2 linked regions of the Astyanax mexicanus genome follow. The protein of the gene in region 1 purifies or fractionates together with the protein of each later gene. This does not show direct contact. Links are inferred from orthologs where the notes say so. Each region holds a gene or a part of one and is shown on either strand. Other genes may lie near its edges.

Region 1 (7,343 bases):
TATAGTAATAGATAGAATGGATGGGTACATATTTTAAGGGAAATATTGGACAGAAATCGTTTGATTTTGTCCGATGGAAAGTTTTAGAACGGGCATATGAAAAGTACAGGTTTTATCCTGTTGTTATGGTATTTAGACCCGTCTGATTGGACCTGACGGGTCAGGTGAACGGGACGGTGAGCAGAAACACAGCCAGTCCTCAGGATTCTCTGGTGCTACGACTGAACTCTCAGTCTGAGATACTAATGGTGCTATTTTACAAGAATTAGCTTTCTGCGGCTTGATTTGAATTTAAATTTGAATTTAATGTGTATTTCCATTGTTCTTTTTTTTTTTACTGTGTCTGTAAATTCTAATGAACTGCATTTATATTTCTACCTTTATATATTTCAGCACCTGTCCTGGTCGTTTTACTTGGAGTAAACATTCAAATAATGTGAAATGATGATATAACTTGAACCGTGCTATCTTTATGACTTGTGCACTTTGTCAGATCAGAGCTCATGTTTTATTTCTGCTTTATGAAGCAATTTAGCACAAAGAAAGTATTTTTTTTTTAAAAAAGGAGTTTTTTTGAATTACTTGATATCTTTAACAATCATGCTTGAAAACACAAGGGGAACCTCATGTGAGTCATGTGACGTGATACTTGTTTTCTTTCTTTCTTGTTTTAAATAAAAATGCACTTATATATTTGTAAAAAAAGGATTAACTGGTGCTCAGAAACTGGTGCTAGACTCTAAACTGGTGTGTCTTTACTGGACGCTGCTGTTTTATAGTGAAATGTTGAGTAATCACAGTTTATGGCAGCTGGGGCACTAATTACTCATGATGATGCCACCCAGACTGTCATTTCTGAAAGAGGTGATTTTATACTGATTTCATTATAGTAAAAATAGTTATCATGCTCTTGTTATGCTACATGTAATACCTGCTATACATACTGCATTTCTATTTAATATAAATAAATAAATGAATAAAAAGGCGTTTGTTTCTGATTATCTTTGATTATAGATTATGGATTTACACACAGACACACACATACACACACACACACACACACTCAGCTGAGCTGAGCTTTGAGCTGGTGCTTATCTTCTGTGAAACCCAGTTTAACCCAATTACTAGTAACTCAGAGCCACCTTCTCTTCAGCAGAACAACTAATATTTAAACATGTCAGCCTGCACTTCTTTCCCAGAACATGTTTGCTGAGTGGAGCTCTTTCTGAGATCCCACATACACACACACACACACACACACACACACACACACACACACACACACACACACACACAAACAGATAGTATTGGTTGAAAGATTTTGTCAAATGGGATCCTGATGCTCATGTTGTAATACAGCATAGGAAAAAATGAGTCCCAATTTAAAAAAAAAAAATAGCTTTGCCAGTTTGTTAAATCAATCTTCCTGACAAAACAGGGTTTTTGGAGTGCAATAGATAATGTAAAATAAAGAAAGATCAATCAGTTTAAGCGAAAAAACGTCACTTATACAGTGAAGTTTAAGAGTTCTTAGAGTTCTGACTTATGCAAAAATAACCTAACTGTATTTTCTTGGTCTCAGCCAGAATATCCAGCATAGACAGCCTTCACCAGTCTAACCCTCAGGACCCTTCACTGTTTGGGTGTCTTTTTGCTACCCTTAAACTGAATCATTGTCCTTTTCATTGTTCATTGCACTTTTGTCCAGAAGATTTGTCCACTGAATAAACCGCATTTGTATCTTAACAGCGCAGCGCTTTTGCGTGTCTCAGCAGAGGATCCTGACTTGCTCGTTCACTCTGTAAAGGTACGCCAGCAGCTCATTTAAGGGAACAGCAATGTTATTTTATTCTTTATTCTGTTTATTGTTGATGTGAAAGCTGGATTGTGGTGTAAGTGTGTAAGAAACGTGGGTGTATACGCTGAGGGCACGCAACGCACATGGCGCTCCTGCATGGCTAAGATAGGATTGGAGGCCTGACTGTTGACTGTTGTCAGGGTTTTAATCAGTAAGTTGGCAAATGTAAGACAAGCCTTTGTTTTCTTTTGGTTCAACAGTGGTTTTTGCTTTGGACTCTCCCATGGATACCATTTTCAACCAGTCTCTTTCTTATAATTGAATCATTAATACTGACCTTAACTGAGAGAAGTGAGACCTGTATTTCTTCAAATGTTGTTCTGGGTTCTTTTGTTACTTCCCGGATGAGTTGTTCAGGTTCACCAGTGTTCCATGTTTTCTCCATTAGTAAATAGTAGCTCTTACGGTGGTCTGCTGGAGTCCCAAAGCCTTAGAAATTGTTGAAGTTGTACCTTTTCCAAGATCAGTGAGTTTCTCAGTTGCTGTTTTCTCACCTGCTGTTGATTTTTTTTTTTTTTCATATTGGGGCAGATTGTTGCTTTTTGAGATCTTTTAGCTGCTTCTGGTTGTGGACACTGGACAGTAGTGAAATTTAATTTAGCTTTGCACAAAATGTAGTTAATCACAGTTCATTCATGGAAAGGCAATTAATAATTTACCTTAATAAATGAAATAGTTATTTATAAACGTTTTTTTTATTTATCTTTGTTTGATATTAAAGTTTGTTTAGTAATCTGAAAAATTTAAATATAATAACACAAACAAACAAATAATAAATCTGTAACGGGGAAAATACTTTTTTATCAGTACTGTATATAGAACATGACAACTGTACAAATGCCTATACAGTTATACAGTTATATACTGGTTCTCTTGTTCTACACATATAATATATATATATACATTTATTTATTCCAATTATTTTATTTTTTTTAGAATCTTGTGAATATACATTTATCATGATTCAAACATCCTTTATCAGGCTTAAATGTTGAGGTAGGAAAAAATATTGGAAAAACTATATATGAATAGTATTATTTTATTTAAATAAATGATTTTAAAGCCATCTATGTTTTTTTTTCTTATTAAAAGTGTAAGTATTAATTTATAGGTCAAATAAAAAATAAATAAATTTAAGCCTACAATTTACCGACCTCTAGCGGGGGTCTGATTAAACTGCAGTTTCCACAATGCTGACTTCCAGTCTGCGCTTTTAAATCTCTGTCTCTGTCCAAATTATTATATACTTTTTTGAAATTATTTTGATGTGTATTATTAAATGTAATTTATATTTAATGTATAATTTGTATTTCCAGTTCGTATCATTTTATATAATATATTGTCTTCCAGGGAGCTTTTATTTTGATTAAAAAAAAAATGCTCACGTACTGTATACTGGCCAATCAGGAGTCGCCCAGAAAATCTCTAGTAGCGAGAATACCCACTAGACTAGTGAATCTTTGTCAGATTTGACCACTAGGAGGCGCTGTCGAGTGAGTCCAAAATTAATGGCTTCATATGGAGCAATTGACCAAAATTGGAGATTGTAAATAATGAATCATTTGAATGCTTTTAAAGTGTACTCATTTTCTAAACACAGAACAATATATCCTGTTTTAGTACAGAAAAACATAATTTTAAAGCTTTTTTACTCCAGTTATAAACCTTTTAATCATGCTTTTGCTATGTATCCGCCTACAGTTGCAGTAACGAGCACCTTAACTGCCTAAAACCGGTTTCCTGAAGAAAAACTAAGGTACGTTTTATTTATTTTTAGCAAAATACATCATTATAATTTTCAAAATTAAAGGAATATCCTGGCTAAGTGTAATTCGTATTTTTTATTTTATTTATAATTTGTTTAGTTGTTTAGCTCCATTCACCCCCATTCATTTTGGACTCACTCGCGGGCTCCCTCTAGCGGTTAAAACAGTAATGCTCTGATATAATGGCGGAGATCTGTCTTAGCGACCAACTTTGATTCATTTCAACGAACCGATTCTTCATAACGGTCACTTGAATGAATGGGAAGTAGTGAAGTCAGTCACTTTTTCTTTTAATTGGTTGTATTTTAATTTTTAAAGTGATTATTTAATAGATTATAAAAATCTACAATTAAAATTCTAACAATACATCACTTTTAAATATTTGCTAAATTAACTCTGAACAAACTTTTTATTTTAAGAAAATGGCTTTTTAAATAAAGAATTTCGATTATTATTAGAGGTGGGTAAGCAGAGCCGCCCAGGCAGTTGGTACAAAACCCTGGGATGGATTTTTTTTACTTTCTAGAGCAATATATTTACATACAAATAAGTTACTTTAAACAAATGTCATTGCCATACATAGCAGGGTGATTAAAACGGTCAACTATTTATTAATAGTTTTGATTCATTAAAATGAACCGATTCAGTAAAATGATTCATTCACAAGTCGGCGCGGAAAACAAATCTGTCGGCGGTTTGTTTTCGTTACTAAGCGGCTCAGAGCCGAGTTCCTAGTGCTTCTCTCACTCTGAACTTCTTTACACTTTCTGTACAGATTCGGATATTTCAGTACAGCTCGCAGATAGACGGCTATTCAGTTCAAAGTGAATAAAACCGGGAAGTTTGCCTGGTTTTAGCTCTTAGAAACCCGAGAACACCTGATACGGAGCCGGGGAGCGTTAGTTAGCCAGGTAGCTAATGCTAACTCCACAACAACCGCCACCTGTAACTCAGCTCTCCTTATAAAAACACATATATAATATAAGTAAAATATCTGCTTATATTTACTGTGACTCTGTTTATTGTAATGTTAAACATTAGCCAGTGAGTTTATCGGCTGGGTGTGTGGACTATCTGCTCTTTCTCTGTGTATAAAGAAAAGGAGCTGCGCTATGGTGAGTTATTTACTGGCTTTAACTAAAACTAGCTAATCTATGTTTGTGGATCATCCAGATTTTGGACCTCTGAAAATACAGAGACCACTTAAAATGAATGAGTTGATTTTACCTAATTAAAAACATCTGGAATATAAACAAGAGGAAGATGGATGATCACAAGCCATAAAACCAAACTGAACTGCTTGAATTTTTGCACCAGGAGTGCAGGCATAAAGTTATCCAAAAGTAGTGTGTAAGACTGGGGGAGGAGAACATGCCAAGATGCATGAAAACTGTGATTAAAAACCAGGGTTATTCCACCAAATATTGATTTCTGACCTCTTAACATTTTATGAATATGAACTTGTTTTATTTGCATTATTTGAGGTCTGAAAGCTCTGCATCTTTATTGTTATTTCACTCATTTCTCATTTTCTGCAATTAAATCCTCTAAATGTCAATGTTTTTTTGCAATTTGGGAGAAATGTTGTCCGTAGTGTATAAAATAAAACAAGAGTGTTCATTTTTCTCAAATATATACCTATAAATATCAGAATCATAGAAACTGATTCAGAAACTATAGCGGTCTCTTATTTTTTTCCAGAGCTGCATATTACATGAAATACACATTTACCGTATTTACTTGAACATTTAAACTGATTTCAGAGCTTTAACGAGGTTCAGTTGTATAAATAAATAAATAAAAAATAAAAGTAATCCAAATTATGAAGAAAAACATAATTAACTAGAAAAGTTAACACAAGATAGTTGTGCAGCTAAAATTGATTCCACTGTTCGCTGTGGAGGTTGCTATGTTGTTGCTAACCGGTGGCTAGGTGGTTGCTAAAGAGGTTGCTTGGGTATCTGTGCGGGTTGTTAAGCTGTTGCTAAGCGGTTGCTAGGTGATTTCTTAAGTGTTACCATGTTATCCGTGGTGGTTACTATGGTGGTCCCATGTGGTTGCTAGCTAATTGCTAAGGTGTTGCTGTTGTATCCTTGTTGGTTGCTATGTTGTTTATAAGTGGTTGCTAAGGTGTTGCTATGGTATCTGTGGTGGTCGCGATATTGTTGCTAAGTGGTTGGTAAGGTGTTGCTAGGTGGATGCTAAGATAATGTATTTGCATAATCTGATCTATGCAAATACATTAGCTAGGTGGTTGCTAAAGTGTTGCTATGGTATCAGTGGTGGTTGCTATGGTGTCCATGGTAGTTGCTAAGGTGTTCCTAAGTGGTTGCTCTGTTGTTGCTATGGTGTTGCTATGGTGGTTGCTAAGATGTTGCTATGGTGTCCATGGTAGTTGCTATATTGTTTCTTAGGTGTTGCTAAGTGGTTGCTAAGGTCTTACTAGGTGGCTGCAAAGTAATGTATTTGCATAAATCAGATTATACATGGCTTGGGTATGGACTCTAGGTTGCTCTGGACGTGTGATTGTTGTTTATTATGGCTTACAGCCAATGAAAACCCAAAAATCGGTATCTCAGAAAATTAGAATATTATATAAGATCAATTGGTACTTTCTGCAGTGTGGGCCAAGTCCTGCTGGAAAATGAAATCTGCATCTCCATAAATGTGCTGTAAGATTTTGTGGGAAAACACTGCACTGACTTTAGACTTGATAGAACACAGTGGATCAACACCTGCACATGACATGTCTCTACAAACCATCACTGATTGTGGAAACTTCACACTAGACCTCGAGCAGCTTGGACTGGGTGTCTCTCCACTCTTCCTCCAGACTCTGATCCCTTGATTTACAAATGAAATGTAAAATGTACTGATGAGCAGTGATGGTTTGGAGTGACATGTCATCTGCTGGTGTTGATCCACTGTGTTAAATCAAGTCTAAAGTCAGTACAGTTTTGTTTTCCCACAAAATCTTGCAGCACTTCATGCTTCCCTCTGCTGACAACTTTTATGGAAATGCAGATTTCATTTTCCAGCAGGACTTGGCACACTGCCCACACTGCAGAAAGTACCAATTGGTCTTATATAATATTCTAATTTTCTGAGACACAGATGTTTGGCTTTTTATTGGCTAAAAATTCCATTATTATCAACAATGAAATAAATAAACACTTAAAATAGATCACTCTGTGTGTAAAGCATTTATTTATATTATATATGAGTTTTGCATTTTGAAAATAATTACTGAAATAAAAGCAACTTTTGGTATTCACATTTTTTGAAATGCACTAGTATATACATTGCTATACATTTGACCTGGGTGATAGCGCTAGTGTTAGGGTTAATAACCTGGTGCCTTTATCTTTTAATATTGTGCTTTTTCAGGATGATCCATCCCTCCAGAGAAACTTTAAAGGGCACAGAGACACAGTAACCAGCATCGACTTCAACTGTAACATGAAGCAGATAGGTACAGTATAGAGCTCTCTTATTTAACCTTTCTAAACTAAATTATTATTAATTATATTCAGAAATTTCATTATTGCAATGTAGTCAAAGAATTTATGTTTAGAGCGTTAATAAACTCTACCCACTTCCAGCCCCTCACCCTATTACTGCTTTAGACCACACCCACCTCCAACATCTCAAGTAATTACTGCTTAAGCCACACCCACTTCCAGCACCTCACACCCATTATTGCTTTAGACCACACCCAC
Region 2 (7,240 bases), on another chromosome or scaffold:
TTCATGCTTAAATGATAGGAAGTGTTCTATCTTGGTTTTATGTAAAAGAGAAATATAGGATAGAATATTTTCATTTAATTTTCCAACTATAGTTTATCTTGGCAAAGATCCATTAAGCTTAAGCATCTAGTGTGCCAACAGTCATGGAATAGCATTATATAAATTTATCATGAATTTTATATCAGGGGACAGCTTGGGAATGGCCACACCTGTAATGTGAAACACAATGAATTATTGCTACTGAAATGTATACTGCAAATTCTAATAGAAATAATGCGAAATAAATCTTCACATTATAAGGTGCACTGGGTTATAATGCGCATTAAAGCCAAACGAGTGCTGGATGGTAATCTACACAGATTCCTCTCCTGAAAATGTGAGTAAAGCGGTTGCGTTTATTTACAGTAAGCTTAGCAGCCAGCAGCTTTAGCATTAGCAGCTAACCACTAGCTCTAACCACAGTTAGCACTAGTAAATACTGCCGACAGGGCTACACTGAGGAACTCTTAGTGTTCCGGTAAGCCAGGTTGATATTAGCTAGCGGTTCATCGCATGTAGCTTGTTTTAACACGGTAAACATGGAGACTACAGTCCGATATACTCACCGCTAAATGTCGAAAGAGCTAGCACTTAGCGCGGTTAGCAGCTAATGCTACTACTGCTCCAGTAGTGCTAGCCAGCGTTAGCAGCCGGCTACAGTCTGATATACTTGGATATACTCGGATTAAAAGGCACACTAATTATTTTTGGGAGAATTAAAGGATTTTAAGTGCGCCTTGTAGTGTGAAAAAATGTGAGAAAATTATGGTTTTATCCAACAATGACAATATCTGACAGTTGTCAGATATGAAACCAGGCACATTCATAAGACCCAGGGACATCCCCTGCTGCCCACATGCAATTGCATGTATAATATTTTGTTTTTGATACATTAAAAACAACAATTAGGCTATTTGGTGGTGTACCACCTTGGTGTGCCTTATTATGTGGCACTTCAAGTACATAATGCTTGAAGTGGCACATAATACACCACATTCAGTAGCCTAGCATGCTAGAAGATGCAAGTCATGGTGTGGTTAATTGCACAGTTAGTAGTGTGTACAATTAGCCAACCATCTTAAATAGTTTTGAACGAATAGTTTTGTCGCTGTCCTATGACAAACACTTATCTCCATTATTGTGGATTTTTAGTTTACAACATAATTTGAACAGACAAACTGTCCCTTACACTGTCAAAATTTATTGATGAACGTACCAATAGAAACTCTTCAAAATGACCTGAAATAAACTCTTATTACACTGACTTCCATTAAAAGTTTACAAGGTTTTTTCTCTCTCCTATAAAGTCCCTTTGTTGCTGATCTTACAAATTGTTGTGCCTTTTTTTAAAAAGAAGACCTGGCTCAAACACTGGCAGCCGAAAAGGGAGCTGTATGTGCCTACATGCACCAGTTTTAATTTCATCATAAAAATATAAATTCTAAACAGGTTAGTTGCCATATTTCAGCTATAATTTTCATTGACTAGAAAAATTAATAAGATGTTTTAAAACGTTCACACTATGTTTCGATTGCTTTACTTAGTATATTTTGATATGGACCCTTAATACATATTAAAACTGGTTTGGTATCTGCATCTGCAGGTAACACAAGGTTTTAGCAAAAGTAAGTAAATAAGTGCATTAGGTGAAAGGTCTGTACTCATTTGTAATGGGTCTATCTGTATGATAGAGCTACTACAGATACATTATCTGGCTGACACAGAAAAACTGCACTGTCGGTCAATGACTGAACGGAGAGTTTACTAATCACTGCTCGTGTCAAGATACTGATTTGTGCAACATCCTTTTACAGCCTTTCTAATGAATATGCCAAACAGGACAGCTTGGTCCTACTGTATATTGCAGCTATGGGATGGCCAGCTTATGAACTGACCTGGATTCATAACAACCAGCTAAATAAATTATATTTTTTTTATGTGTGTAACAAATAAGACAAGTACTAGTTAGAATAGGCCTACCCAGATATGTTGTGAATTTCACAATAAGGAAGAAATGTATTAGATTCAATACAAATAATGGACAAAGTCCAAAATGTGCTAATGTGGAGCATCCAGAGAAAGTGGACTAAGGCATAAATTGCTAAAGCATTGCTTAAGCAGTTCCAGAAATTACAGACATGTTTCCATGATTAGCCTGCCACTTACTAATTAACAAATTTGTATGCAAAAAATATCAACAGCACATTTGTCTGACTCAACCCATTGTAACTACAGATGTGTTTCATGGATAGACATGTTTTATAGATGCTAAATAAAAACTCTGCAAAAAAGGTAACCCAGTATATATTGTATGATGCACCAGAGAAAAAGAGAAAAATATTTTTTTAATGTTTTCATTTCTTTCAATGATTTTTTATTTATTTATTTTACTCTGGTTCATTATATAATCTAATAAAAGATCATACAATATTTATACTTATATGTTGCTGATTTTTTTTTATTATATTTTGTATTATTATATTTCTAATATTTATTGTCTGCATATTTTATACTGTAATATAGTTTGGGGGAGTGTTCTGCTAGTCTTAGTAAAATTTTGGTTATTCAGACACAATTTGTTTGTATTGCAATGCAATCAAAATTATTTATGCCACCTGTTCAGATACTTCTCTATTTATAATATTAATATATTTCAAATATGTTTTACTTGTAAAAAAGATATTAAAATGAAGGAAATATCGCAATGCATGAATTACTTTATCACAAATTCAGATACACCCATATTCAGTCTGTAGATTTTTCTTGTAGAGGTCAATTTAAAATAAGGTTTAGGGGAACAAAATTGTGAGATGATTTTGCCATTTAAAAACATTTTTTCGCCTTTACTTGCACTGCATGTTGTCTGTTTGCAGTTTACATGAATGCACTATATGTGCTAAACTTTAGTTTAGTTAAACAGTCCTGGGCGTTTGGTGAGGAGCAGTAAACTCTTTTTGTCTCTGTAAAGTCTGTATTTACACGGATAGTAAATGTTCCAGGCGTTTCTAGAGAGTTCTCTCCGCGGGCTCTGGTTCCTCTCGGGGGAAATCTTTAATATGCGCGAGAGTCGTGACGTTTTTTTAGTTCCAGTATTTTATTGGCTCTCTCGCCTGTCCGTTAACTCTGAGGTGGTTTGATTGGTCAATCCTGGAGGCGGGTCCTGTAGCTAGGAAAACATTTTTTCGCCTTTACTTGCACTGCATGTTGTCTGTTTGCAGTTTACATGAATGCACTATATGTGCTAAACTTTAGTTTGTGGTAGACTTTTTTAGTTACATTCAGAGTGTGCAGACATAGACACCAACGTGAAATCATTTTGTTGTGCAGTAAAATGTCTCATACAGCACCAAACTACTAAGCATCTTTAGCCGACTGGTCACCAGATAAACTAGCCGCTCTAGCCCAAATCAATGATAGATAACGTTTTTTTTATTATGAAGTGTTCCACGTGCGCTAAAAAGTGCCCTTTTTCCCCCCTGAGCACTCGGCCCCCAAAATGTCTGTGCACGACCCTGGTTACATTAGTTTATTTTTGTTCAATTAGTTTATTTTTTTTACATTTTTCTGCTATACTGTTGTTATTATTTTATGTACTATAAATCTTGTTGAGTTACTATAGGAAATATACCTAGGTTTATACTTTTTTGTATCTACTGAATGTATAAAATGTATATTAAGGCTTATAGCTGCCACTCAGCTTATATTTATTCTAAATTAAAAAAATGTTTTGTCTTATCGCAATGAATACCATTATTGCAAAAAATACCATCAAATATCGTGATGTTATGTTAGGGCCATATCGACCAGCCCAAGGGGCCAGGCATTTTTTTTTTTTACATATTTACCTATAAATAAATCCAGCACAATTCGAAAAGAGACTCGGCTCGTGAGTTAAACAGTCCTGGGCGTTTGGTGAGGAGCAGTAAACTCTTTTTGTCTCTGTAAAGTCTGTATTTACACGGATAGTAAATGTTCCAGGCGTTTCTAGAGAGTTCTCTCCGCGGGCTCTGGTTCCTCTCGGGGGAAATCTTTAATATGCGCGAGAGTCGTGACGTTTTTTTAGTTCCAGTATTTTATTGGCTCTCTCGCCTGTCCGTTAACTCTGAGGTGGTTTGATTGGTCAATCCTGGAGGCGGGTCCTGTAGCTAGGAAGCGGCTGCGTGTTTTCCTGTCTGTGAATAACGTGCCTCCGCTGGTCCGCTGCTCCGCGCTGTTCGTTGTTTCTGAGCGCAGTCTGAGACTCAGGGCTGTTAGAAATGGGAGATGATGAGGAGAAGTATGACGGGATGCTGCTGGTTATGGCGCAGCAGCACGAAGGAGGAGTGCAGGAGGTAACGTGTGAAGCGAGCTGCGAGAACAAGAGCATCAGCAGCAGCAGGGCGGCTAGCTGGGTTAGCTAACAGCGGCTAGCCTGTGATGGACCTGATTTACTCGCCTGTCTGTTGATAGGGATTTGGTTAGGGTTTTATTCATTATTTCATTGAACAGCAGCAGCAGCAGCTATCCGTGCTGTGTTTCTGAGAATCTAATCTAGCACTGCTCCTGTGGTTGCCGTTATACGGGTAAAGTTACCGGTGTCTGTGTAGCTAGGTAGTTAGCTAACTAGCTTATTTAGCTTTTTTTTTATCCTAATAAACTATAAGCTTAACTAGCTAGTTAGGTTAGCTAACTTTAGCCAGCTTTTAACTTTAATCCCTGGGCATCTAGTCACAGACCTTCTCATAAGTAGCAGTTTTGATCTATAATCAACAATCAGTGTCTGCTGCTACAGCTAACATAGGCCTGTCACCATAACTGTATTTGTGGACTATATATTACACCCACATACAGTACCAGTCATAAATTAATATTAAAGACCTTAACAGTAAAGGAACACACATGGAATTACATAGTAAACAGAAAAGTGTTTGTCCTCCACAATCATCTTGAGCACAGTGTGAATTAAAGTATAAATCATATTCTGGTTTGTTTACAAAGGAATTCTGCATTTGTTCCTGTGTAGCTTTAATGTCTTAAATATTACATTTAAAATATAATAGAAAGTAATATAAAGAAGTAAAACGATTTGAATGAGAAGGTATATCCTAATATATATATATATATATATATATATATATATATATATATATATATATATATATATATATATATATACAAAAAAAAAGTTGCAGCAGTTCTTCAGGTCTAGGTTTAGAAACAGTATGTGATAAAAGAATGAGGTCAGCTGACTACCTGAATATACTGAATGACCAGGTTAATCCATCACTGTTTTTTTTTCCTTCCCTAATGGCAGGGGCATATTCCAAGATGACAATGTCAGGATTCGTGGGGCTGGAATTGTAAAAGAGTTCAGGTTCAGGGAGCATTAGATCATCATTTTTACAGAAATGACAGTAAATACTGAAATTGCAGCATATTTGTAAAAAAAAATTAATTGCCTATTTACATTAAGTAACGCTTTTCTGTTTGTAAATATTTTTTAATCACCTATTTACATTAAGTAACGCTTTTCTGTTTGTTGCAGTCCTCCCTCTATGTATGGAGGCACTTTTATTAATGCAATGGTTATTGCATTACCGGCTGAAATATTGCCGATGTTTCTTCATTCTCTTGTAATCAAGAATGCAAGTAAACAGAATTTGTGATATCAGGGTTATAAAAAAAAAGTTATGAAAAGTAATGATTAGGTCATATTTTTGTATTGTTCTGGATGTGTTTGGTTGATAATGGTAGCGAGCAAGTCATTTTATGTGCATCCTGTTCTGTCTCAAAGGCTCACTTAACTAATTATGCTGATATATTGTCAGTACCCTGACTTTCTGTGTAAACGGCAAATAGAAGAAATAACTAAATAAACACTTTTTTTTCTACAGTTGGTGAACACATTCTTTAGCTTTCTCAGACGAAAAACAGACTTTTTTACTGGAGGTGAATCTGGAGCTCCAGAGAGGGTGAGTTAATGTCATTGAATAGAAACAATCCCTTATCTTTTTTTTTTTTTTTTTTTTTTAGTTTTCTTCCAAATCTTTTTTTTATGTTTGTGTTTAGTAATATAGTGTGCTTCACTCAATCTTTACTCCTTAGTTGGTAAAGGAGGCATTTGCCCATCACAGTCAGCTGGCGCTCCAGGCCCATAAGGACAAACAGTCCAAACAGGAGAAGGAGAAGAAAGAGAAAGCAGAAAGAGCTGCTAAGCTGAAAGCTGAAGAGGAGAGAAAAAAGAAAGAGTTGGAGAACGAACCCAGAATTAAAGAACTGACGGATGAGGAAGCGGAGAGACTGCAGACAGAGATAGATCAGGTAAGACTGTCCACTAGTTTTCTCTTTTACAGCTAGAAGTTTACAGTACGTTTATTAACCTGATTGTTTTGTTTGATTAGTTGATTGGTTTGGCTTGGTGCCTTAAATCTTTTGCATTTCTCTATTGTGCATGATTTATGCAGAAGAAAGACAAAGAAGAGCAAAAGGAGAAAAAAGACACTGAAAGCAGTGCTGCCGATACATCTGATAAAGCAGAAAAAGGGGTGAGTGAGGAATACACATTTATGATAATGGGAAAAGAAAGATGTGGACATACCTAGGATGAATTTTGATCAATTTGCCGTATTCAGAGTCAGATGAACTGTCTCTGTCTCTGCCTGACTCAATTTCAAGAGTATAGTGAGATTTCCATGCAAATGAAATAACTTATGTTTCAGTCACAGCATACCGGTAAGTGTAACCGGTACTGGCATATGGGATTGCCATTTTACAGTGTACAACACTAACACTAACAAAACACTGGCAATCTGTAAAACTAAATGGTTTATATGGGTATATAATGCTTTTTTTTTAACACTAAAGTGTTCTGCTGTACATATATACTTGTACATATAGCTTGTCAAATGTTTTGTGTGGTAATCTTGAGTTTTACTGATGTGTCGTTTAGTCTGAATCTGAAGGAGAAGAAGATGAGAAGGATAAGAACAAAGTAAAACCTAATTCTGGGAATGGAGCAGATCTGCCCAACTACAGATGGACACAGTCCTTGTCAGAAGTGGATGTGAGTATATTTTGTGGAGCTTTAGTCAAGCTTGCCTTTTTGTTTCTTCGAATACAGATATGACCACACTAATGAGTTTATTTGTAATGAGATAAATGATGACTGTATCCAGTTGTTGCTTTATATTCTTATTTAAGCTCTGTGATTGTGGCCATTTAT

The links.
Region 2: the proteins of poc1a (region 1) and nudc purify together in Homo sapiens (co-immunoprecipitation; 3 studies listed by BioGRID and IntAct, with this or other methods). This does not show direct contact. The link is inferred for Astyanax mexicanus from reciprocal best matches to the Homo sapiens genes POC1A and NUDC.

Annotation. Positions count from the first base shown.
Region 1 is NC_064431.1:16,184,237-16,191,579, forward strand, and holds the start of poc1a (POC1 centriolar protein homolog A), read left to right. Parts: upstream 1-4,291; 5' UTR 4,292-4,736; coding exon 4,737-4,739; intron 4,740-7,011; coding exon 7,012-7,096; intron 7,097-7,343.
Region 2 is NC_064410.1:21,454,394-21,461,633, reverse strand, and holds the start of nudc (nuclear migration protein nudC), read left to right. Parts: upstream 1-4,179; 5' UTR 4,180-4,295; coding exon 4,296-4,370; intron 4,371-5,912; coding exon 5,913-5,990; intron 5,991-6,123; coding exon 6,124-6,339; intron 6,340-6,482; coding exon 6,483-6,563; intron 6,564-6,967; coding exon 6,968-7,081; intron 7,082-7,240. UniProt on the Homo sapiens protein: Plays a role in neurogenesis and neuronal migration. Necessary for correct formation of mitotic spindles and chromosome separation during mitosis. Necessary for cytokinesis and cell proliferation.